Anolis sagrei: one gene and its partners. The protein of the gene in region 3 purifies or fractionates together with the protein of the main gene of each other region. This does not show direct contact. Links are inferred from orthologs where the notes say so. Each region holds a gene or a part of one and is shown on either strand. Other genes may lie near its edges. The genes, in order: BRIX1, NOP2 and EBNA1BP2.

Region 1 (7,836 bases), on a different chromosome or scaffold from region 3:
ATTTTTGCACAGATGTTTGTACACATAAGTCAGCATCACTGAATCAAAGAATTGGAAGATCCCACAAGGGCCTTTCCAGTCCAAACCCCTTCTGTCATAAAGGAAAAACACAATAAAAGCACTCCAGACAAATGGCCGTTCAGTTTCTGAATAAAAAGTTCAACCATGTTCTGAGGAAGCATATTCCACAGCTTAACTTAACATCAGGATATTCTAATTTTCCTGCAATTTGAATCCATTGCTCTGTGTCCTGCTGTCCAGAGCCACAGAAAACAAGCTTGCCCTCTCCCTCAATGTGACATCGGCAAAAGTATGATAGCTAGGACCCAACGAACCCTATGGCAGTTGCACAACCCACGTCGGAATTAATGAAGGGAAGTCTGCTTGGACTGTTTCCAGCTGCTGGGGCTGCTTTCTTCGAAGGGCAAAAAGTGTGCTGGTGGCCCGGAAGGTTTTTACAGGCCCTAGTGCAAACAGAGTGGCAGGCACGGGATCCCACCAACCCTTCCCCTTTTCTTCTGCTTTTCCCCACCCGCTTTCTGACAGTGGAGGAGCCAGGGCTACGGGAGGGCTGGATGTGTGAGCCCTACAACAGATGTGATTGGTGGGAACGAGAGACAGGGCCTTCTCAGTGGTGGCCCCTCGGCTATGGACCGCCTTCTCTAGGGATATTAGATTTGCCCCCTCCCTCCTAACATTCCGAAAGAGAGTTAAAACCTGGCTGTTTGAGCAGGCATTTGCAGACACAGTATAACTTATTAATTAAGACTCATGGAACAATTGGACGACGTGACGGAAAAATGATTTTAATGATGGGACGCTGAGGACTTGTGCTTTATGGCTTTATTCTTTTATTGCTTTTATGTTTTGTATTATACGTAATGTTTTTGACTGTATTTTATGTTCTGGGGCATTGACTGCCGACTGTAAACACCTCACGTCGCCTCCGGGCTGAGAGGAGTGGTATACAACTATAGTAAATAAATACTATATTTACAAATATAGTAAATAAATATTATTGTTTATTTATTTAAATAAATAAATAAAAAAACACAGCTCCTCCTTCCCTTGCAGCTGCATCTCTGACTTGCTGCGCTGTCTCGCGCACGTCTTCCCTTCATGAATTCTGGCCCACGGTGCGCAACCAGCGTAGGGTCCCAGCTATCATACTTTTGCTGTTACATTCTTTCAAATATTTAAACACGACTCTCATGTCTCTTTCTCCAAGCCTTTCCTCATAGGGCTTGGTTTCCAGACCTTTCTGCTTACTAGAGAAACACCACTGGAGAAATTACACTGTTTAGCCAGTACTGCACGATCTGACATCTGCCATGAAGTAGCAACCAATAGTGAAAGGGCCAAGGTAGTGACATCTCCAGCTCATCCCCTGTTTGGATGAGCTGGAGTCAGCACATCAACGACTTAAATCAAGAAATAGTTTTGTAAGATCTACAGAGACACTCGCTGCAACACCTCAGCAAGCGAGAGTCCAAAAATGGCAGGCTCAAACCCAGAACGTCAATCAATGGCTGATATGTAATGAGAGACTCCCCCCTGAGTACACAGAGGACTGGGCAACTTGGAAGGCGCTGAACAGATTGCGCTCTGGCACCACGATATCATAGAATCAAAGAGTTGGAAGAGACCTCATGGGCCATCCAGTCCAACCCCCTGCCAAGAAGCAGGAATATTGAATTCAAATGCAGAGCCAACCTTCAGAAATGGGGCCACAAAGTGGAATCCATGACCTGCGAGTGTGGAGAAGAGCAAACCACAGACCACCTACTGCCCTGCTACATGCACAATGGAGGACCTTCTTGCAGCAACACCAGAGGCACTCCAAGTGGCCAGCTACTGGTCAAAGGACATTTAATCCTATGAACCAGTTAGGACATTAAGATTGTCTGGGGAGGCCCTGCTCTCGATCCCGCCAGCTTCACAAGCACGCCTGGTGAGACGAGAGACAGGGCCTTCTCAGTGGTGGCCCCTCGGCTGTGGAACGCCCTTCTTGCGGATATTAGATCGACCCCCTCCTTACTGGCATTCCGGAGGAAAGTAAAGACCTAGCTGTTTAAGGCATTCGACTAAGCAGTGTGACTAATTGACTGATTATCGGAACACGGAATAATGGATAATGAGTTTGGATTCTGATTTCATTGATGAGACCTGATGGATTTGTTATATTGATGTACTGATGTATTGATGCTGATGTTTAATGATTTGTGATGCTATTGCTTTTAAATGCCTAATGATTTTGTATTGTGTATACCTAAACTGTTGTAAACCGCTCTGAGTCGCCTAAGGGCTGAGAAGAGCGGTATACAAATAAAGTAAGTAAGTAAATAAATAAAATAATAAATTAATCAACTACCAAGCTTGCAAACTTTGTGTTTTGTTTGTTTGTTTGTTTAAAAATGCAATGCAACTGTTCGGTCTGCCCCTGACACGATAAATAAACAGCTTACTAGAAACCAAATACATGCAATATCTGAAATTACCTGCTTTGGAGTGAGGCATCAGTGTTCGCAGGTCTTTCATCAGGTGCCTTGTCCTAAAATTTATGCCTCTGGAGGAAAAAATGAGCACCCTCTCTTTGTTTTTCCATTTGCCCTGAAAGATACAAGGACGATACAGATCAGTTCTGGGAAGAGGGGGAATCGCCTTGAACATTACATCTCTAGATACCACATGAGGTGCATCTACACTATATGGCTGAATGGTATAGAACAGTACTGGGCCAACTTGGGCCCTCTCTCCAGGTGTTTTGGACTTCAACTCCCACAATAGGCTGGTAGGCTGTTAGGAATTGTGGGAGTTGAAGTCCAAAACACCTGGAGGGAGGGCCCAAGTTGGCCCAGGCCTGGTGTAGGTGGAATCTCCGTCTCACCTGCGAGACCGGGGCCGGGATGTGGTGCTCCTCTGGGCCCGGCCCTCCGGCAGGAACTTCTTTCTCTTCCCTCTTGGCTTTGGCCTCCGGAGCCTTCTTCGCCCGCTTCCTTTTCGGCCCCGCCGCGTTGCCTTGCCCGGCGCCTCCACGCTGCCTCTTGCCCGCCGCCATCTTTGCCTGCCGCCCTCAGAGGAAGCGGAAGTGGCGTCACCAAGCGGACGCTCCAAGAATTCATCAACCAGAGAGTTCCATCCCTAGGCACACACTTCCGGCTTGATCAGAGGCTGAGAGCAGGAGGGAAATATGGGTTCATATTAGGTCGAATGGCATTGTGAGTTTCTTAAGAGAATTTCAGCAAGAGTTGCTTGTGACCTGGGAGGCATCTACACTGTGGAATTAATGCGGTTTGGTCCCGCTTTAACTGCCATGGCTCCAGGGATTTGTATTTTAGTGCAGTGACTGGCAGAGAAGGCTAAAGAGCCTTAGCTTTGCACGTTTCTCAGTCTCTCTGCAATTTATGGCGACCCCATAGGTTTCAGAGGGCTTTCTTTGGCAAGGGACACAGAGAGGAAGCTTTGCTGCTCCTCCCCCTGTCGCTGCAGAGCGAATGAGAGGCTCTTTTACAACTTGTCGTAAAGCAACTACTACCAGTTGCTTTGCATTTCCCTGTCGTGCCTTTTCCACCTTTCAACCAATAGGCTGGCAATTCCTCTTTGGCTGCTACCTTCCAGCTGTCAAGCAGGTAAGGCTCACTTATCATAGAATCAAAGAGTTGGAAGAGACCTCATGGGCCATCCATTCCAACCCCCTGCCAAGAAGCAGGAATATTGCATTCAAATCACCCCTGACAGATGGCCATCCAGCCTCTGTTTAAAAGCTTCCAAAGAAGGAGCCTCTGCCACACTCCAGGGCAGAGAGTTCCACTGCTGAATGGCTCTCACAGTCAGGAAGTTTTTCCTCATGTTCAGATGGAATCTCCTCTCTTGTAGTTTGAAGCCATTGTTCTGCGTCCTAGTCTCCAGGGAGGCAGAAAACAAGCTTGCTCCCTCCTCCCTGTGGCTTCCTCTCCCATATTTATACATGGCTATCATATCCCCTGTCAGCCATCTCTTCTTCAGGCTAAACATGCCCAGCTCCTTAAGTCGCTCCTCATAGGGCTTGTTCTCCAGACCCTTGATCATTTTAGTCGCCCTCCTCTGGACACATTCCGGCTTGTCAATATCTCTCTTGAATTGAGGTGCCCAGAATTGGACACAATATTCCAGGTGTGGTCTAACCAAGGCAGAATAGAGAGGTAGCATGACTTCCCTAGATCTAGACACTATGCTCCTATTGATGCAGGCCAAAATGCCATTGGCTTTTTTTGCCGCCACATCACATTGTTGGCTCATGTTTAACTTGTTGTCCACGAGGACTCCAAGATCTTTTTCACTCGTACTGCTCTCAAGCCAGGCGTCCCCCATTTTGTATCTTTGCATTTCGTTTTTCCTGCCAAAGTGGAGTATCTTGCATTTGTCACTGTTGAACTTCATTTTGTTTGTTGAATTTTTGCCTGGCTTTGGATGCATCTACAGTGTAATATTAATGTAGTTCAGCATCTTTATTAATAACTTTGATCAGGGGTCCTCAAACTTTTTAAACAGAAGGCCAGGTCACAGTCCCTCAAACTGTTGGAGGGCCGGATTATAATTTGAAAAACACATGAATGAATTCCTTTGTGCACTGCACATGTCTTATTTGTAGTGCAGAAAACAATTAAAACAATATAATAATTAAAATTAAGAACAATTTTAACAAATATAAACTTATTAGTATTTCAATGGGAAGTGTGGGCCTGCTTTTGGCTGATGAGATAGGATTGTTGTTGTTGTTGTGTGCTTTCAAATAATTTCAGATTTAGGTTGACCCTGAGCGAGGGCCGGGTAAATGACTTGGAGGGCCATATCTGGCCCCCGGGCCTTAGTTTGAGGACCCCTGACTTAGATGAAGGGTTAGAAGGCAGGATCATCAAGTTTGCAGACGACACCAAATTGGGAGGGAGAGCCAATACTCCAGAGAACAGGAGCAGGATTCAAAACGATCTTGACAGATAAGAGAGATGGGCCAAAACTAACAAATGAAGTTCAACAGTGACGAATGGAAGATACTCCACTTAGGCAGAAAAAATGAAATGCAAAGATACAGAATGGGGGATGCCTGGCTCGAGAGCAGTACGTATGAAAAAGATCTTGGAGTTCTCGTAGACAACAAGTTAAACATGAGCCAACAATGTGATTTGGTTCCAAAAAAAAAAAAAAAGCCAATGGGATTTTGGACTGCATCAATAGGAGTATAGTGTCTACATCCAGTGAAGTCATGCTCCCCCTCTGTTCTGCCTTGGTCAGACCACACCTGGAATCACACTGTGTCCAGTTCTGGGCACCACAATTGAAGGGAGATGTTGACAAGCTGGAATGTGTCCAGAGGAGGGCAACTAGAATGATCAAGGGTCTGGAGAACAAGCCCTGTGAAGAGCGGCTTAAAGAGCATGTTTAGCTTTCAGAAGATAAGGCTGAGAGGAGACATGATGAGGGCCATGCATAAATATGTGAGGGGAAGTCATAGGGAGGAGGGAGCAAGCTTGTTTTCTGCTGCCCTGGAGACTAGGGCGAGGAACACTGGCTTCAAACTACAAGAAAGGAGATTCCATCTGAACATTAGGAAGAACTTCGTGTGAGAGCTGTTCAGCAGTGGAACTCTCTGCCCCGGAGTGTGGTAGAGGCTCCTTCTTTGGAAGCTTTTAAACAGAGGCTGGATGGCCATATGTCAGGGTTGCTTTGAATGCAATTTTCCTGCTTCTTGGCAAGGGGTTGGACTGGATGGCCCATGAGGTCTCTTCCAGCTCAATGATTCTATGATTCTAGTTTCATACTGCCATGGCTCAATGCTATGGGATCCTGGGAGTTGTAGTTTGGTGAGGCACCAGCATTCTTTAGCAGATAAAGCTAAAGACCTCCCATGGTCTCATTGAGCCATGGCTGTTAAAGTTGTGTTGATCTGCATTAATGTGCAAACTTCAGCCCTCTGGGTGTTTTGGACTTCAACTCCCACAGTTCCTAACAGCCTACTTGCTGTTCGGAATTGTGGGAGTTGAAGTCCAAAATACCCTGAGGGCCAAAGTTTGCCCATGCTTGGTGTAGTAGATGCACCCTGTGCCTCCCAAAAGCGGTGAAAGTATAATAGCTTGGACCCAGTGGTTGCATAACGCGGCTCTGAATTAGAGAAGGGAACACGTGCACCAGACACAGCACCATGTGTGCGAGAGACTGCACTTAGTGAAAGATGAAGCTACGATGGAGTCAACAAGGTAGTTTGGTAGAAAGGGGGGGAGGCACAGCCAAGCATACTGATGTAGGCTATCTGGAGATATTCAAAAACGTTGTTGCATTGGAAGGAAGGATAAAAAGGAAGGGAGAAATATGAGGAGCGGTGAAAAATGAATTAAATGCGGTCACTCTTACATTACTTCACTGGTATCCTGCCGCAGCTGCGTCTCTCACTCGGTGCACTGTTTCGCACATGTTTTCCCTTTTCTAATTCAGAGCAACTGGGTCCCTGATGCTCATATAATATTTTATGACTTCTCAATTTAACTATAATGCAATTGGATCTTTACAGGTCTCCTCTGGGAATCCCTGCCCTTGGAGGGGAGACTGTGGAGTGACTTCTCCAAGCCATGCCTCTATCGACTCAAGCAGAAACAGGTGAAGAACAGAACGTTTTGGTAGCAAATCTTGACAATGTCAGGAACCTGTCCAATATCCTGAAAGCCATTCATTTTAAAGATCACGCCACCTGTGTTGCTACTACAAATGGACTCAAAGTGACAGTCGAAAATGCAAAGTGTTTGCAGGCCAATGCATTTATACAGGTGAGATGGCAGCATTTCCTTTCCTTTTAGTGCTCTGGAATGACTTGGATTCAGGAGGAGGAATTAAAGGAACATTGGGAATAACATGTGAAAGTCCTATGGGAGATAGCAGTATCTGGCAAACTAAGGGCCCTGCCAGACAGGCTCTATATCCCAGGATCAGATCCCAAGTTTTCTGCTTTAAACTGGATTATATGAGAGCCCCTTCCACACAGCTGAATAAAATCCCACATTATCTGCTTTGAACTGGAATATGTGGCAGTGTAGACTCAGGTAACCCAGTTCAAAGCAGATATTCTGGGATGTTGTGCCTTGGTATTTTGGGTTATATGGCTGTGTGGAAGGGCCCTGAGTTTGCACTGCCATATAATCTGGGATAAACAGAAAACCTGGGATTAGATCCTGGGATATAGGGCCTGTCTTAAAGGGCTTTAAGGTTCCTTCTATACAGCCATATATTAGGGCCCTTCCACACAGCCATATAACCAAGAATATCAAGGCAGATAATCCATAATATCTCCTTTGAACTGAATTATCTGAGTCCACACTGCCATATATTCCAGCTCAATGTTGCTTTTATACAGCTGTGTGGAAGGGGCCTTAGTCTACAATACCATATAATCCAGTTTAAAGCAGATAATCCAGATTTTATATGACAATGTAGATGGGGCCATAGAGTACTGTACTGTGATAGTAATGAGATAATACGATCGAATGAGGAAAAGGGAGTTTTGTTTAGAAAAAAAAATCCCATTTTCTTTTTTGGTTTTGTTATTCTGAGTTGGGTTACAAGGACACATGCATGGTAAATTGCCAATTTAATTGTCTTACTATAATGTTGGTACCGGTTGAAATTTTTCAAGTTTCTTGTCTTTCCAATTTACAGGCAGGTATTTTCCAAGAGTTTATGGTTCAGGAAGAATCTGTGATGTTCAGAATCAACCTGTCTGTTCTTTTAGACTGCTTGACCATCTTTGGAACAAGTTCGTCCCCAGGTATTTCCTCTATGTGGGTTTTGGTAGATTACATTCACCAAGCC
Region 2 (7,131 bases), on a different chromosome or scaffold from region 3:
GGGATTTTTACAGTGTTAAGTGCCTTCTAGCCTGGCAACCACCCAAGCAGCAGCCAGGCTTTGCTTTTAGGTTAAAATGATCAGCTCTCACGTTTTGTGAGGATCGCAAATAATAACTCCAGTCTGATTTGGATTTATGAGGTTAATTCTTGAAAGGGCTAATCAAATATATTTTGTTTTTTCCATAAACGTTTTGTATACAAGCAGATGGTTATCAGACTATGGGAGGGAGCACCAGTTGCTGATTCTGTACTTTAGTCTCAGCTGTGGTTTTTTTGCCATGAATCAGCCTGAGAGTTACTGTTGTCAGAAGTGGGGAAAGTTTGCAAGAATCTCTTCCAAACTGGTAAAGCTGATGTATAAGTACGTGTACTTAGCTACTTAATGCAATGCTTTTGTTCCCAGAATGGTATTGTGTGAATCTATGAAATCTCAAAGATTCCATTTGTGTACTGATGACTTGCTTTAAGATCATAATTGTTAGGGAAAACTATGCGAAATAAAGCAGAGCATCCAAAAACAATCAGGATACAAAAAGTTGAGCATCAGCTCATTAGCAAGCAAAGCCAAGTGATATGGCTGTAGAGAATTCAGAGCTTAGGAGCCAATCTTTTAAAAAATCACAAAAGGTTTATTTACAACTAGCCGTCCCCTGCCACGCGTTGCTGTGGCCCACTCTGGTGGTCATGGGGGTTCTGTGTGGGAGGTTTGGCCCAATGTTATCATTGGTGGGGTTCAGAATGCTCTGTGATTGTAGGTGAACTACAAATCTCAGCAACTACAACTCTTAAATGTCAAGATTCTATTTTCCCCAAACTCCACCAGTGTTCACATTTGGGCATATTGAGTATTTGTGTAGAGTTTGGTCCAGATCCATCATTGTTTGAGTCCACAGTGCTCTCTGGATGTAGGTGAACTACAACTCCAAAAACCAAAGGACACTGCCCACCAAACCCTTCCAGTATTTTCTGTTGGACATGGGAGAACTATGTGCCAAGTTTGGTTCCATTCCATCCTTGGTGGGGTTCAGAATGCTCTTTGATTGTAGGTGAACTATACATCCCAGCAACTACAACTCCCAAATGACAAAATCATTTTTTGAGTGAAGGACATACATTGGGTTGTTAGGTGTCTTGTGTCCAAATTTGGTGTCAATTTGTCCAGTGGTTTTCGAGTTCTGTTAATCCCACAAACGAACATTACATTTTTATTTATATAGATAATAATGAACTACCTATATTTCTTCATGGTAAAGAACTGGGTCTGAGCTACTCCAACATCCATCTCTTCTAACATTTCAACAGAAGAGAAAACTCAATCATTACATCTCTCCTGACACACAAGCAGAGAGAGATCTCAAAGCACACAGCACATACTCTCCATACTAAAGTGTAGGAAGGCAGAAGTCTGATTCAAAAAGGTTTGCAGTAGAAAAGTATCCAATTTAAAGAATGAGAGCAGAAAGAAGAGATGAAAACAGACACATTCCCAACTGTCATACAGGAGACATGGGGGAAAGGAAAACTCTCAGACTATTCTAATGCTAACCAATTTCTCCTCATTGAGGGCTTGAGACTTGATCAGTGTGGGGTTGCATTCCAACAATAACAACACCCAAACTGTACCATCATTACATAGTTTGGGTGTATTGTATAGTATAGTATAGTATAGTATAGTATAGTATAGTAATGGCTTCGCTAGGAAGCTCTATATAACACAGCTAATGTTCTACTATCCACTAGAATCTGCATATCCCAGGGCATTTTCTCCTTAAACAAGAATTTGGGGTTGGAGTGGGCAGGCGGGTAGATAGGCTTAAATTAGGCACAGGCCTGAGTCCCTCAGGACCACAAGCGCAGGATTGCTGATGTCTTGGAGGTCCAAACAGCTACTATAAGACAAGTAAAATCGTGAGACAAGCAGAAATGGCAGAAATAGCCTACAGAGCTTTCCAACCATTTCATGTTGGTGACACACTGTTTACACATGCATCACAACATATCTCATGAAAATCGTTTATTTTTATTTTTTGTTGTTGTAGGTTTTTCCAGACTATATGGCCATGTTCTAGAGGCATTTTTTTCCTGACGTTTTGCCTGCATCTTTGGCAAGCATCCTTAGAGGTAGTGAGGTCTATTGAAACTAGGAAAATGGATTTATATATCTGTGGAATGACCAGGGTAGGACAAAAAACTCTTGTCTGCTGGAGTTAGGTGTGAATGTTTCAACTGACCACCTTGATTAGCATTTGATGGCCCTGGCAGTGCCTGGGGCAATCTTTTGTTGAGAGGTGATTGGATGTGCCTGATTGTTTCCCCTCTGTTTTGCTGTTGTAATTTTAGAGTTTTTTAAATACTGGTAGCCAGATTTTGTTCATTTTCATGGTTTCCTCCTTTCTGTTGAAATTGTCCACATGCTTGTGGATTTCAATGGCTTCTATGTGTAGTCTGACATGGTGGTTGTTGGTGTGGTCCAGCATTTCTGTGTTCTCAAACAATATGCTGTGTCCAGGTTGGTTCATCATATTTTTATTTTTGTAAATAAAAATGTAACACAAAACTCAGAGGTTTTGTGTTAACATTCGCGCAACACACCCATGCACTCCAGTTGACACAGTACAACACACAGATTGTAAAGCTCTGTTCTACTTGTTTAAATTGCAAAGGATAGTCTACTGTTAGGACAGAGTAAAAAAAAAAGCCAGAAACAAAGCATACAGAGTATGAACATGCAAATATATTTAGCCAAGTGCTTTTTTATATCTACGTGTATGTTACTACTGAGATATTCTACAACTGAGTTCGTAAGGTAGCAACATGGTTGTAATATTTCTAAACTGTTTCGGATACTTTGGGACATGTCTTTTCAGCCATGATTGTTTCTTGTCTGGAGTTCCTCTGTTCTTGAGTGTTGTTTACTCTCCTGATTTTTGATATTTTTTTAAAATATTGGTAGCCAGATTTTGTTCATTTTCATGGTTTCTTCCTTTCTGTTGAATGTGTCTACATGCTTGTGGATTTCAGTGGCTTCTCTGTGTCGTCTGACATGGTGGTTGTGAGAGTGGTCCAGCATTTCTGTGTTCTCAAATAATATGCTGTGCCCAGGTTGGCTCATCAGGTGCTCTGCTATGGCTGGCTTCTCTGATTGAACGAGTCTGCCCTGCCTTTCATGTTTCTTGGGACAGCTTTTCTTTTTTTTGGTCGTGTCAGGAGCGACTTGAGAAACTGCAAGTCGCTTCTGGTGTGAGAGAATTGGCCGTCTGCAAGGACGTTGCCCAGGGGATGCCCGGATTATTTTTTATGTTTTATCATCCTTATGGGAGGCTTCTCTCATGTCCCCCCATGAGGAGCTGGAGCTGATAGAGGGAGCTCATCCGCCTCTCCCTGGATTCGAACCTGCGACCTGTCGGTCTTCAGTTCTGCCGACACAGAGATTTAACCCACCTCGCCACCGGGGGCTTGGGACAGCTAATCAGCTCTCAACAAAGGATTCCCCCGGGCAGTAAGAAGCTACACCTTGAATCTGCTAGGCCATCAAATGCTAATCAAGGTGGCCAATTGCAACATTCACACTTGCCTCAAGCAAAGAAGAGTCCTTTCTCCCACCCTAGACTTTCCATAGATATATAAACCTCACTTGCCTAATTTCCAACAGACCTCATAATCTTTGAGGATGCCTACCACAGATGCGGGCGAAACGTCAGGAGAGAATGCTTCTGGAACATGGCCATACAGCCCGAAAAACTTACAACAACGAAGTCCAAAACACCTGGAGGACTTTGTTTTAAAGAGTAGGCAAAGCACTGCATACCACCTTAATCCTGTAGCTGCCTCCTGCAGAATTATGGGACTTGTAGTTCAGAGAGGCGAAGAAAAGATCTCGCTAGTCTAGCTGGTTCCTCCGTAGACCACAAGCCCCAGGATTTAAAGTGGAACGCACCCTCTTTAACCTATTCCGGACGCAGAAGCGTATCACCCGCTGTCCAATCCCAAGGCGGAGAGCTCTAGCGGAAGGCGCCCCCGTGGCCAATGAGAGCCTCCTCCTGAGGCGGAAGTGCGCGTGGCCGAGGAGGAGGCGGGCCTGCAATCCACGTGCGCGCTTTCGGGGAGCGAGGCCTGAGCAGCATGGGGCGCAAACTGGACCCGGCGAAGAAGGTCAAGCGGGGGCCCGGGCGCAAGGCCCGCAAGCAGCGCGGCGCCGAGGAGGAGCTGGCCGGGTTCCTGCCTCCCGGTGAGTCGGGCCAGGGCTGCCTTGGCCGTGGAAAGCCCTCGGGATGGGCCGAGGCCTCAGGGGCAGAGCACAGCCCTCGCCACAGCATCCCGGGAGTTGCCCTTTGCGGGGAGGCCCCGGCCCTCTTGGGCAGAGAAGGCGGGAGACCTTGTGAAACCACAACTCCCAGGGTTCCTGGCCCTTGATCCGTGCGTGGCCCTTCAAGGAGCCGCATCCTGGGTGGGAGATATAGTGCTCTGTCAGGTCGGAAGTGGACTCATTATATGAGACTGCACTGCCATAGAATCCAGATTATCTGCTTTGGATTGGATTCTGTGGCAGTGTAGACTCATATAATCCGGTTCAAAGCAGATAATGTGGCTTGTCTGCTTTGATAATCTGGATTATATGGCAGTGTGGAAGGGACCTGGTTTATATGGCAGTATAGACTCATATAATCCACTTCAAAGCTGGTAACGTGGATTGTCTGCTTTGATAATCTGGATTATATGGCAGTGTGGAAGGGACCTGGATTATATGGTAGTGTAGACTCATATAATCCACTTCAAAGTTGGTAACGTGGCTTGTCTGCTTTGATAATCTGGATTATATGGCAGTGTGGAAGGGGCCTGGATTACATGGAAGTGTAGACTCATATAATCCACTTCAAAGATGGTAACGTGGATTATCTGCTTTGATAATCTGAATTACATGGCAGTGGGGAAGGGACCTGGATTATATGGTAGTGTAGACTCATATAATCCACTTTAAAGCAGATAATGTGGATTGTGTGCTTTATTCATCTGGATTATATGGCAGTAGACGGGGTTTTACAGAGTTCCAGGGAGAAATTGAAGTGGTTCAGTCATGGGACTGGTTTCTACAGCCCTTTTATACTGCCGTATAAGATTATCTGTTTTGAACTGGGTTATATGACAGTGTAGACATATAATCTAGTTCAAACAGGTAATGTAGATTATCTCATTTAATAATCTGGATTACATGGCAGTCTAGAAGGGGCCAATCTAATCAAAGCATTTATCTCTGATATGTCTAAATGAAGAATGGGCATCCACTGGATTCTCACTAACCTTAGAGGATGATTAGGCAGTTGGAGGGCAAGGAGAGAGATTTTCTTGAAAGGCAAATTGTGGTCATAAATATGGGAGGCAGGACAGTTACTGCTAAATAAGCATCATACCGCCAATGAAAGGGAAACTCACAACACTGAATCCACAAACATTTGCACATATGTACAGGCCTTTGCTTTGATGGTCTGGATTTTATGGCAGTGTAAAAGGAGCTTCATATACTCTGGGACTTCCAAATTCAGACAGACAGCGTTTTGGAGCACAATACTCCTGACCTCACAATCATGTTTAAAAACAAAGTATGGATTGTCAATGTTGCAATCCCAGGTGACAGCAGGATTGAAGAGAAACAACTGAAAAAACTTGACACGATATGAGGATTTAAAAATTGAACTGCAAAGACTCTGGCACAAGCCAGTCAAGGTGGTCCCAGTGGTGATCGGCACACTGGGTGCAGTGCCTAAAGACCTTGGCCTGCACTTAAACACAATCGGCGCTGACAAGATTACCATCTGCCAGCTGCAAAAGGCCACCTTACTGGGATCTGCACACATTATTCGCCAATACATCACACAGTCCTAGACACTTGGGAAGTGTCCGACATGTGATCCAATGCAACAGCCTGCGTCTGCTGTGGACTCATCTTGTTGTGTTTCAAATAATACTAATGATGATGATGATGATAGCAGCAGCAGCCATCCTTATGGCTCGATGTTTCTTCTAGACTGGAAATCTTGCCATTGTCCTTGTTGGGATTTTGTGCATATTTTGCCTTGGGCCCTTCCACATAGCCATATAACCCAGAATATCAAGGCTGATAACCCAGAATATCTGCTTTGAACTGGGTTATCTGAGTCCACACTACCATATATTCCAGTTCAAAGCAGATAATGGGCGATTTTATTCAGCTGTGAGAAAGCAGGCCTACTGCTACTCCTTTTGTGGAAAACACAGATCTCTGTCACACTACACTTTAAAGTATAGGATTTAGAGTGTGCATTCCACCATAGGATCCTGGGATATGTGGTTTGTAGAGGCATCATCCTTTTTTGGCAGAGAAAGCTAAAAACCTTATGAAACTACAGCTCCCATGGTCCCATAGCATGGATCCACAGCAGTTAAAGTGGTGTCAGACTGCACTAATTCTACAGTGTGAATGCAACCTTGAATTCAGCTAGGAGCTCTTGATGTTGTTCTAGCTGTGCTTACTCTCTTGATCAGCCTCCTATAGAGATTGATATGTCTATGTTTTTCTTCCAAGACCCTGATGACAATATAAAGAAGCTCTCCAGTCACGCACGACGAAGGTTAGTAGGAAAGTCACCAAAATTTGCTAACAGTTCAGAATATAACTTCCTCTTCATTTATAAACTGTTAAAAATTATAACATCCTTTTTTAAAATACGGCTTCTCAAACCTATTGAGAATTTGTTGGTTGCTCATAAATATCAGGGTGTTATATTGTGTGTTACTAAAGATTAAAATCAAGTGTGAGAATTTACAATCGAATAAACAATAGATGGCTGTCATTTTAGGCCACCTAATGGAATTAATCACAACCTCTGAGGATGCTTGCTACAGATGCAGGCGAAACATCAGGAGAGACTGCTTCTAGAACATGGCCATATAGCCCGAAAAACCTACAACAACCCAATTGTTTATTCATTTCTTAAAAGCATTTATAGCCTGTTCTTCAGCCAAAAATAATCCCTGAATGTTTCAAAGCTATTCCGTTTTCTTTGGTTTTGACTTTGCTTTGTGCACCGTATGGCCACAGATAATACATATAACAAGGAGAAACTGGCCTATATGTTTGTGGGTCGCATGGATA
Region 3 (8,041 bases):
CAGCTGGCACAAGGGTTTAACTTAGGGTTCCAACTTTTGTTATGTTAAGAGGATAAATAAAATACAACACACAAAGCTTCCAATTACAGTGAGGAAACTCAAGAAGAAATAGACTTACAAACTCATTTCTCTTTTGAAGTCATCCTCAGGATCATCAGCATCATTGTCAGTGGTTTGATTAGAAGGAGCACTCGTGGTGTTTGTTGGCAGGTAAGAGGTAAGATCAAGCCTTTCAACCCAGTCCAAGTCCCTCTGGAACTCAGATAAGCACTGCTTCAGTCCATTCTAGGAAGAATATGATGTGAGGATTAGAGTAATACAAAGAACTTCCATACACTATTTAATAGTTTTTTCCAACCTAGTGCTCTTCACACATGTTGAACTACAACTTCTTCCAACATGTTCAGCCAATATTGGCCATGCTAGATCTGCATGATGTAGATTCTAGTGCAGCACCTTGGGGAAAGGCTGTGCTGTCATGACAACTAAAACAATCGTATGAAAATCCCCACCCATCCCTAAAACCATCAACTAGATCTTATGCTGATAAAAGCATTCCCTTAAGATTCCCATTAGATATCACACACTGTATTTACTGCTTCCTAGCCAAGGAGACACCAGGTTTTTTTAAAAATAAAAGCTTTTCCTAGTCATAAGCTATAAGCAAAAATGAAGGTGCTTCTGCCTCAACAAGGACAACATCAACAGAAATTGATGCAAGCTTCTCTGTCTTGAAGAAAAAGAATAAATGACCACATTTTATATCCTTGACAGAATGTTTCAAATTGATTTTGCTATGTGTAGCAAATAGATACCAATGTATTTAAATGACCCCCACCTCCAGTTCAATACCATCCGGAGTTTATTTGCAATGACTTCATTCTGGCAAAATACTGGGGTTTTTTTCAGTAATCAAAATGTTCCACTTGGAGAAGTAGATGAACCACACACATGAACTGATTCCACATGGGTCACAGTCATACAGGACTCACCACATTGTTGATAATTTTCGGCCGTCCCTCAAGCACAACATTTAAGCCTGGCTTTAGTGATCCTTTAGAAAACGCCTGCTGGAGCTACATAAAGAAATCTTATATGTACATTTTCTTGGATAGTGTTACCATACACAAATATCAAAAAAGCTTATTTAGTCACCCCTTTGATAACGGAAAGGAATGTGTAAATGCTCAATACATAGAAACATAAGGAGAATGAGGAGAATGATCAAAAGATATAATGTAGTCTTCCAGATGTCATTAGACTACAATTCACATAATTTTTCTCCACAAGGTATGCTAATTAGGGGGAAAGGAAATTGCAGTTGACTATCTGAAGGACCAAACCACACATTCCAGTTCCAAATAGTCAATGCAGAAATCTATTTTATATTGACATGTTCTGACACTGCATTGTCATTTGGTGGACACTTGGTCAAATCTTTTTTCCTCAAGTTTTGACACAATGAGGTTCTTTCATACTCCGTTTCTTGCCTTTAATACAAAAATAACACTATTTAATCGGATATTCTCTCCTATCTTGTTCATGCCTAACATTATTTTTTTTAAACTTTGATTTGGCCCAGCCATAGATTTTAAATGTGTGTTGTATTACTGTCACTGTTTATTGCTTTTTTGTTTATGAGCTTTATTTTAATTGTTTTTATTTTTGTTGTTATTGCTTGTATTGATGTATTTTGGGCTCGGCCTCATGTAAGCCACACCGAGTCCCTTGGGGAGATGGTAGTGGGGTACAAATAAAGTATTATTATTATTATTATTATTATTATTCTAATCGAGATAATCTACATAAAGTTCTTTGCACCTTTAAAATATTGTTCATAAAGATGAAATATCATTAGGTGTTATTGATATATTTAAATACAGTTTCCAGCTTCTATTACTGTGAAATGAAGTTGTGCATCCTACACACAGCTATTACAACAATGTAGCATCCTTGCTCTAAACAAGATGAAAAAATGGCCTTCCATCGCAGCCTATGAAGAGAAATGGTTACCAGGGCCAATCCCAAACTGATATGGAACTCATCTACAACTCTCAGTCCTTTACGTCACTAGTTTATCACAGTGGTTTTCAACCTTTGGTCCTCCGGGTGTTTTGGACTTCAACACCCAGAAATCCCAACCATTTTACCATCAGTTAGGACTTGTGGGAGCTGAAGTCCAAAACACCTGGAGAACCAAAGTTTGGGAAACAGTATATTATCAGATCCCCTACTCAGCCATGCCCCTAAGAGAGAAAAAGTGGCCCGCCCCCACTCCTGCACAGAACAAACAATAACAGTCCAAACTCACCTCACGGTCTGTAACAAGAGACTCATCCGAATCTGAGGACGACGACCAATCTTCGTCCATTTCCATGTGGGGCATCTCAGATCCTTTTATGATAACTGGATTCAACTAAGCTGCACTGAAAGGCAAAATAGTTAGAAAACACATTCCATCCCCCAGGAACATGAGCTAAAATGGGAGTAACTGCACAAATAACCTAAATGCACGAGATCAAAACAACTTATTAATGCAAGCAATCCAAAATACTGGCCAATACAGGTATATACCATAAAAATCCAATCTAACCATCGCTAATAATAAATATGCATCCCATTATGATTCATTCAGACTAGAGTAAGAAAGATAGGTGATTAAATGTTGTATAGGTTGAAAAAAAAATACTATCTTTGTATAAAGTTAGTCTGAACTGTTTCCTCCCCAATTTTGGAAACAGGGTGCATCTACACTGTAGAATTAACGCAGTTCAATATCGCTTTAGTCTTAAACTGCACTCTATGCGAGGCATGGGCAAACTTTGGCCCTCCAGGTGTTTTGGACTACAACTCCCACCATTCCTAACAGCCTACCGGCTGTTAGGAATGGTGGGAGTTGCAGTCCAAAACACCTGGAGGGCCGAAGTTTACCCCAGCCTGTTAGAAGCACACTTACCTCCCACCGACTGAACACGAGGAAACCATACAACAGCTACTTCCGGTACGGATGTGACGTCCTACGGGACATTTCCGATTCGTTTCGGCCATCTTTTTCGAGGGTGCTACATCCGGGACGCTGTTGCCATAGCAACCGGCTGTAAAGCGTTGTCTCCCTGGTCGACTCAAGGCTGCAGACAGAGCAAGCGAGGCCGAGACGGACTGTCAGGCGGTGGTTGCTCTCGTTTTTCCGGCACAGGCTCCGAACCTGCGGCGCCATGTCGGTGATCGTGGCCCAAGCGCTGCACATCTTTGGCTTCCAGTCTCGCGTGGCCAATAACATTTGTTTCTTTGACGAGCAGATCATAGTGTACCCCGCGGGGAATAGCTGCGTGAAGTATCACATTGAGCAGAAATGGCAGAAGTTCATCCCAGGTAAATCTAGCCACCTCCCTCCAGGTGTATTGATGTTTTCATCCAGTGGTTCTCAACCTGTGGGTCCCCAGGTGTTTTGGCCTTCAGCTCCCAGAGATCGTAGCAGCAGTTAGATCCTAACAGCTGGGATTTCTGGGAGTTGTAGGCCAAAACACCTGGGGACCCACAGGTTAAGAACCACTGTTTTAATCCATCTCCATCAGGCATGGGCAAGCTTCGGCACTCCAGGTGTTTTGGACTTCAGCTCCCACAATTCCTAACAGTCTCAGGCCCCTTGCTTTTCCCTCTCAGCCACTAAAACTATGACATCTAACAAAACTAAATCTAAAACAAACACACAACTACTAAAACTATTCTACAAATTTCACATTCAGTGTGGTGTTGTTCATTCATTCAGTCCGACTCTTCGTGACCTCATGGACCAGCCCACGCCAGAGCTCCCTGTCGGCCGTCACCACCCCCAGCTCCTTCAAGGTCAGTCCAGTCACTTCAAGGATGCCATCCATCCATCTTGCCCTTGGTCGGCCCCTCTTCCTTTTGCCTTCCACTTTCCCCAGCATAATTGTCTTCTCTAGGCTTTGCTGTCTCCTCATCATGTGGCCAAAGTACTTCAACTTGGTCTCTAGTATCCTTCCCTCCAATGAGCAGTCGGGCTTTATTTCCTGGAGGATGGACTGGTTGGATCTTCTCGCAGTCCAAGGCACTCTCAGGACTTTCCTCCAACACCACAGCTCAAAAGCATCGATCTTCCTTCGCTCAGCCTTCCCTAAGGTCCAGCTCTTACATATTCAGTGTAAACCTATCATATCATGCAGTTCAATGTCTAGCTGGCCATATAATGCAGTTCCAAGCTGTTTGATATTGCAGAGTATATCCAGCCCCAATCTGTTGATATTTACCCCCTAATTATCCTACTTCCTTTGGATAACACTGTATCACCACACCTCTGTGTTTCATCACATTCCTCTAGTCCAGTGGTTCTCAACCTGGGGTCCCCAGATGTTTTTGGCCTTCAACTCCCAGAAATCCTAACAGCTGGTAAACTGACTGGGATTTCTGGGAGTTGTAAGCCAAAACACCTGGGGACCCACAGGTTGAGAACCACTGTACTACATACTACATTCCCCTTTGGAAATGGGCTGGGGCTGGGGGGCTGGACCCAGACAGAGAGTGTAAGCGAGTAGGGTGTAAGTGAATGGAAGCAATCACAGTGTAGAGGAAAAAGACCTGATGAATGCTATTTTTCCCAAAAGGGATGCCAAAATCTGCCCCTGTTCAGAACTCAGAGGCAGTTCTGTTTTGCCTTCTGCTGTCTATTCAACAAGTTAATATTTTAAGTCACTGGTGAGTGTGTTTCCAGAGGCTATTATTATTATTATTATTATTATTATTATTAACTTTATTTGTACCCCGCTAGCATCTCCCGAACGACTCGATGGGGCTTACAAAGGCCAAGGCCTCAAAACACAACATAACAATACACAACCTAAAGCAAATTAAAAAATTAAAAACAGTTAAAGCAGAATTACACAACAAGCAATAAGCAATACACCAAGACACTGGGCCGGGCCAGAGTAATGGGTACAGATCAAAAGTGCTGAAGTGACAGGTGATATGTAAGGATTATAGAGTAAGTGCAGTGTGCCAGCAATCTTAATTCTAATAAAGTGCTTCTGGGACTTGTTATTGGAGTTTTCCTATTCTGGAAAGGCACAGGGTGGAGTGGGCCTTTTCCAGTCTGTTTCAGTATACATACTGCTCTAGTCCCAGCATGGGCAAACTTCAGCCCTCCAGTTATTTTGGACTGCAACTCCTACAATTCCTAACAACTGGTATTTATTTATCGTGTCAGGAGCGAACCAAAAGGTTGTATTGTATTTTACACAAAGTTTGCAGACTTGGTATTCTATTAAATGTTGTTTGACCAGTAGCTGGCCACTTGGAGTGTCTTAGGTGTTACTATAAGAAGGTTCTCCATTGTGCATGTGGCAGGGCTCAGGTTGCATTGTAGTAGGTGGTCTGTGGTTTGCTCTTCTCCACACTCGTGGACTCCACTTTGTAGCCCCATTTCTTAAGGTTGGCTCTGCATCTCGTGGTGCCAGAGCACAGTCCATTCAGTGCCTTCCATGTTGCCTAGTCTTCTGTGTGCCCAGGAGAGAGTCTCTCATGGTATCAGCCATTAATTGAGGTTCTGGATTTTAGCCTGCCACTTTTGGACTCTCGTTTGCTTAGGTGTTCCAGTAAGTGTCTCTGTAGATCTTACAAAACTATTTCTTGATTTAAGGCGTTGGCGTGCTAGCTGACATCCAAACAGGGGATGGGCCGGAGATGTTACTGCCGTGGTCCTTTCACTATTGGTTGCTACTTCCCGGCGGATGTCAGGTGGTGCAATACTGGCTAAACAGTGTAATTTCTCCAATGGTGTAGGGCGCAGACACCCCGTGATAATGCAGCATGTCTCATTAAGAGCCACTGATTTAGCGTGGTGAGATGTGTTCCACACTGGGCCTGCATACTCAGCAGCAGCGTAGCAAAGTGCAAGGGCAGATGTCTTCACTGTATCTGGTTGTGATCCCCAGGTTGTGCCTGTCAGCCAGTAGGCTGTTAGGAATTGTGGGAGTTGAAGTCCAAAACACTGGGAGGGCAGATGTTTGCCCATGCCTGCCCTAGTCTAATGCATTGAAGATTTCCCCCATCATTGCTGTGAATTGGTGGTTCAATTGCATTGAACTATGGCAATTAAAGTGATGTCAAACTATCTGCATTTTACAGTGTAGCTGTACCCGTAGATATGGTTCTGCCAGTTCCTTCCTTTGAAATGTAACCCACACACCTGATATTCATTGGCAGTCTCCCATACAATACCAACATGCATTGATTTATTGTCATTTTGGATAACAAAAATGTTTAAGTTTCCAGGTTATGCTCATGGAAGTTTTGCTTGTATGTGCACATGTGTGTTTGCTTTACAGGCTCAGAGAAAAGTCAAGGGATGCTTGCACTGGCAATTAGTCCAAATCGGCGCTATCTGGCCATTTCAGAGACACTCCAGGATAAACCTACTATCACAGTTTATGAACTGTCCTCTGTCCCATGCAAGAAACGAAAGGTCCTGAACTCCTTTGATTTCTCTGTCCAAGAATTTATCAGCCTGGCATTTTCCCCGGATTCTAAGTATCTAGTGGCACAGACAGGGGCCCCTGATTCACACCTTGCCTATTGGATGTGGGAAAAGCAAAGAACAATGGCTATTATTAAGGTTGATGCTCAGAACAATCCCCTCTATCAGGTAAGATGAAAGACAAAGATGAATATCCTGGGTAGGCCACATTTAAATAATACTCAGGTACTTACTCTCACTGCATTATTACTTCAATGAATACTTTTTCACAATTGGAGACCACAGTTAGTGAAGCTGTGATTGTTACAATGGTGTTAACATGAAATCCAAGCTCCAAACTTCCTTTTGCACAATGTTTTCCTGTACTCAGAAGGCAGGGTACACACATATTTTAGATCAGCAGTTACACTTAAGGCAGTACTGTCCTGCTCTTCCAGTTACTGAATGTATATCCAGTAGTCTTTGTTCATAAATTGCATGTCCCCAAAATAGTCCAAACCTAGAATTAGGTCTCGGTTTGAGATTGTTGTGATAGAACCCCATCACTATAAAGAAGCGCAGGACAGATTTCAAAGCACTAACAATCCAGTCTAGAAATTCCAGTATATGAAGCTGCCTTAGGTTAGTCATTTTGATGATGGCTCGGCTCTGCTCATGAAATTGGCATTATGTGTAAACATTTCTAATGGAATATCTCAGGTATAGAAAAGTAGAGATTTCCATAGTTCCGGTTCAGTCCTTGGGTGCTTATTTTTTTGTATTTTCCTTCACAACATAAATATAATGTTCTGGAGACAAAGCCTCAAAAGGGTTGTGGGTGGTGGATGTAATCAGCACACCTAAAATCATGAACCTGAGCAAGAGTTTCTCTGACAAATATGTTCCCATACATCAGGATCATACTGGCTTCCTAATCACAAATGAAGGCCTCCCTCATGTCCTTTCGAAAAAGCCTTAAGACATGGCTGTTCGAGAGGGCATTTAATTAATTAAGTGCTAAACAACAAAACAATACGGTAATGAGAACTGGAATGGAACAAGGAATATGAGACTGGCTATAATTCCACTAAGAGACAAAGCGGATTTTTAGTGTAGTCTGTAATTTGTTGTATTGTTTATATGTTGTTGAAAATGGCTTTTGTAATTGTCTTTTATGTGTACTGTACGCCGCCATGAGTCGCCCTTACGGGCTGAGAATGGCGGTTAATAAGTGCATCAAATAAATAAATAAATAAATAGATTAAAAGAATCCTCCTAGTCATCTTCAGCCTACCCTGTGTTTAAATATACATATGTTATTCCTGACTGCTGAAGATTTCTTGGCACACATTTTGTAAGTCTTCATGGTCTTATATAAACAAATATCAGTGCTTCAAAAAGTTCTGAACTTTTCTGATTGGCAAGAAGACAAGAGATCAAACTTAATAACTTGTCACTAAGTGACAGGATAGTGAAGCAAATACTAAATCGTATGTAAATAAGAAAGCAGCTGCTATTTTTTTGGTTTATGACATCATTAATGAGCTTCTGCTTAATACAGTAGAAATG

What was found.
Region 1: the proteins of EBNA1BP2 (region 3) and BRIX1 purify together in Homo sapiens (affinity purification with mass spectrometry; 4 studies listed by BioGRID and IntAct, counting the BioPlex papers as one, with this or other methods). This does not show direct contact. The link is inferred for Anolis sagrei from reciprocal best matches to the Homo sapiens genes EBNA1BP2 and BRIX1.
Region 2: the proteins of EBNA1BP2 (region 3) and NOP2 fractionate together in Homo sapiens (co-fractionation; 3 studies listed by BioGRID and IntAct, with this or other methods). This does not show direct contact. The link is inferred for Anolis sagrei from reciprocal best matches to the Homo sapiens genes EBNA1BP2 and NOP2.

The regions. Positions count from the first base shown.
Region 1 is NC_090022.1:280,049,606-280,057,441, forward strand, and holds the start of BRIX1 (ribosome biogenesis protein BRX1 homolog), read right to left. Parts: upstream 3,102-7,836; 5' UTR 3,059-3,101; coding exon 2,888-3,058; intron 2,611-2,887; coding exon 2,499-2,610; intron 1-2,498. Other genes in the region: cell cycle checkpoint protein RAD1, read left to right, coding at 6,603-6,797, 7,684-7,792. UniProt on the Homo sapiens protein: Required for biogenesis of the 60S ribosomal subunit.
Region 2 is NC_090022.1:197,352,232-197,359,362, reverse strand, and holds the start of NOP2 (28S rRNA (cytosine(4447)-C(5))-methyltransferase), read left to right. Parts: upstream 1-4,046; 5' UTR 4,047-4,124; coding exon 4,125-4,230; intron 4,231-6,561; coding exon 6,562-6,607; intron 6,608-7,131. UniProt on the Homo sapiens protein: S-adenosyl-L-methionine-dependent methyltransferase that specifically methylates the C(5) position of cytosine 4447 in 28S rRNA. Required for efficient rRNA processing and 60S ribosomal subunit biogenesis.
Region 3 is NC_090024.1:183,205,590-183,213,630, reverse strand, and holds the start of EBNA1BP2 (probable rRNA-processing protein EBP2), read right to left. Parts: upstream 3,030-8,041; 5' UTR 2,957-3,029; intron 2,427-2,956; 5' UTR 2,387-2,426; coding exon 2,312-2,386; intron 1,077-2,311; coding exon 993-1,076; intron 286-992; coding exon 119-285; intron 1-118. Other genes in the region: CFAP57 (cilia- and flagella-associated protein 57), read left to right, coding at 3,216-3,372, 6,345-6,661. UniProt on the Homo sapiens protein: Required for the processing of the 27S pre-rRNA.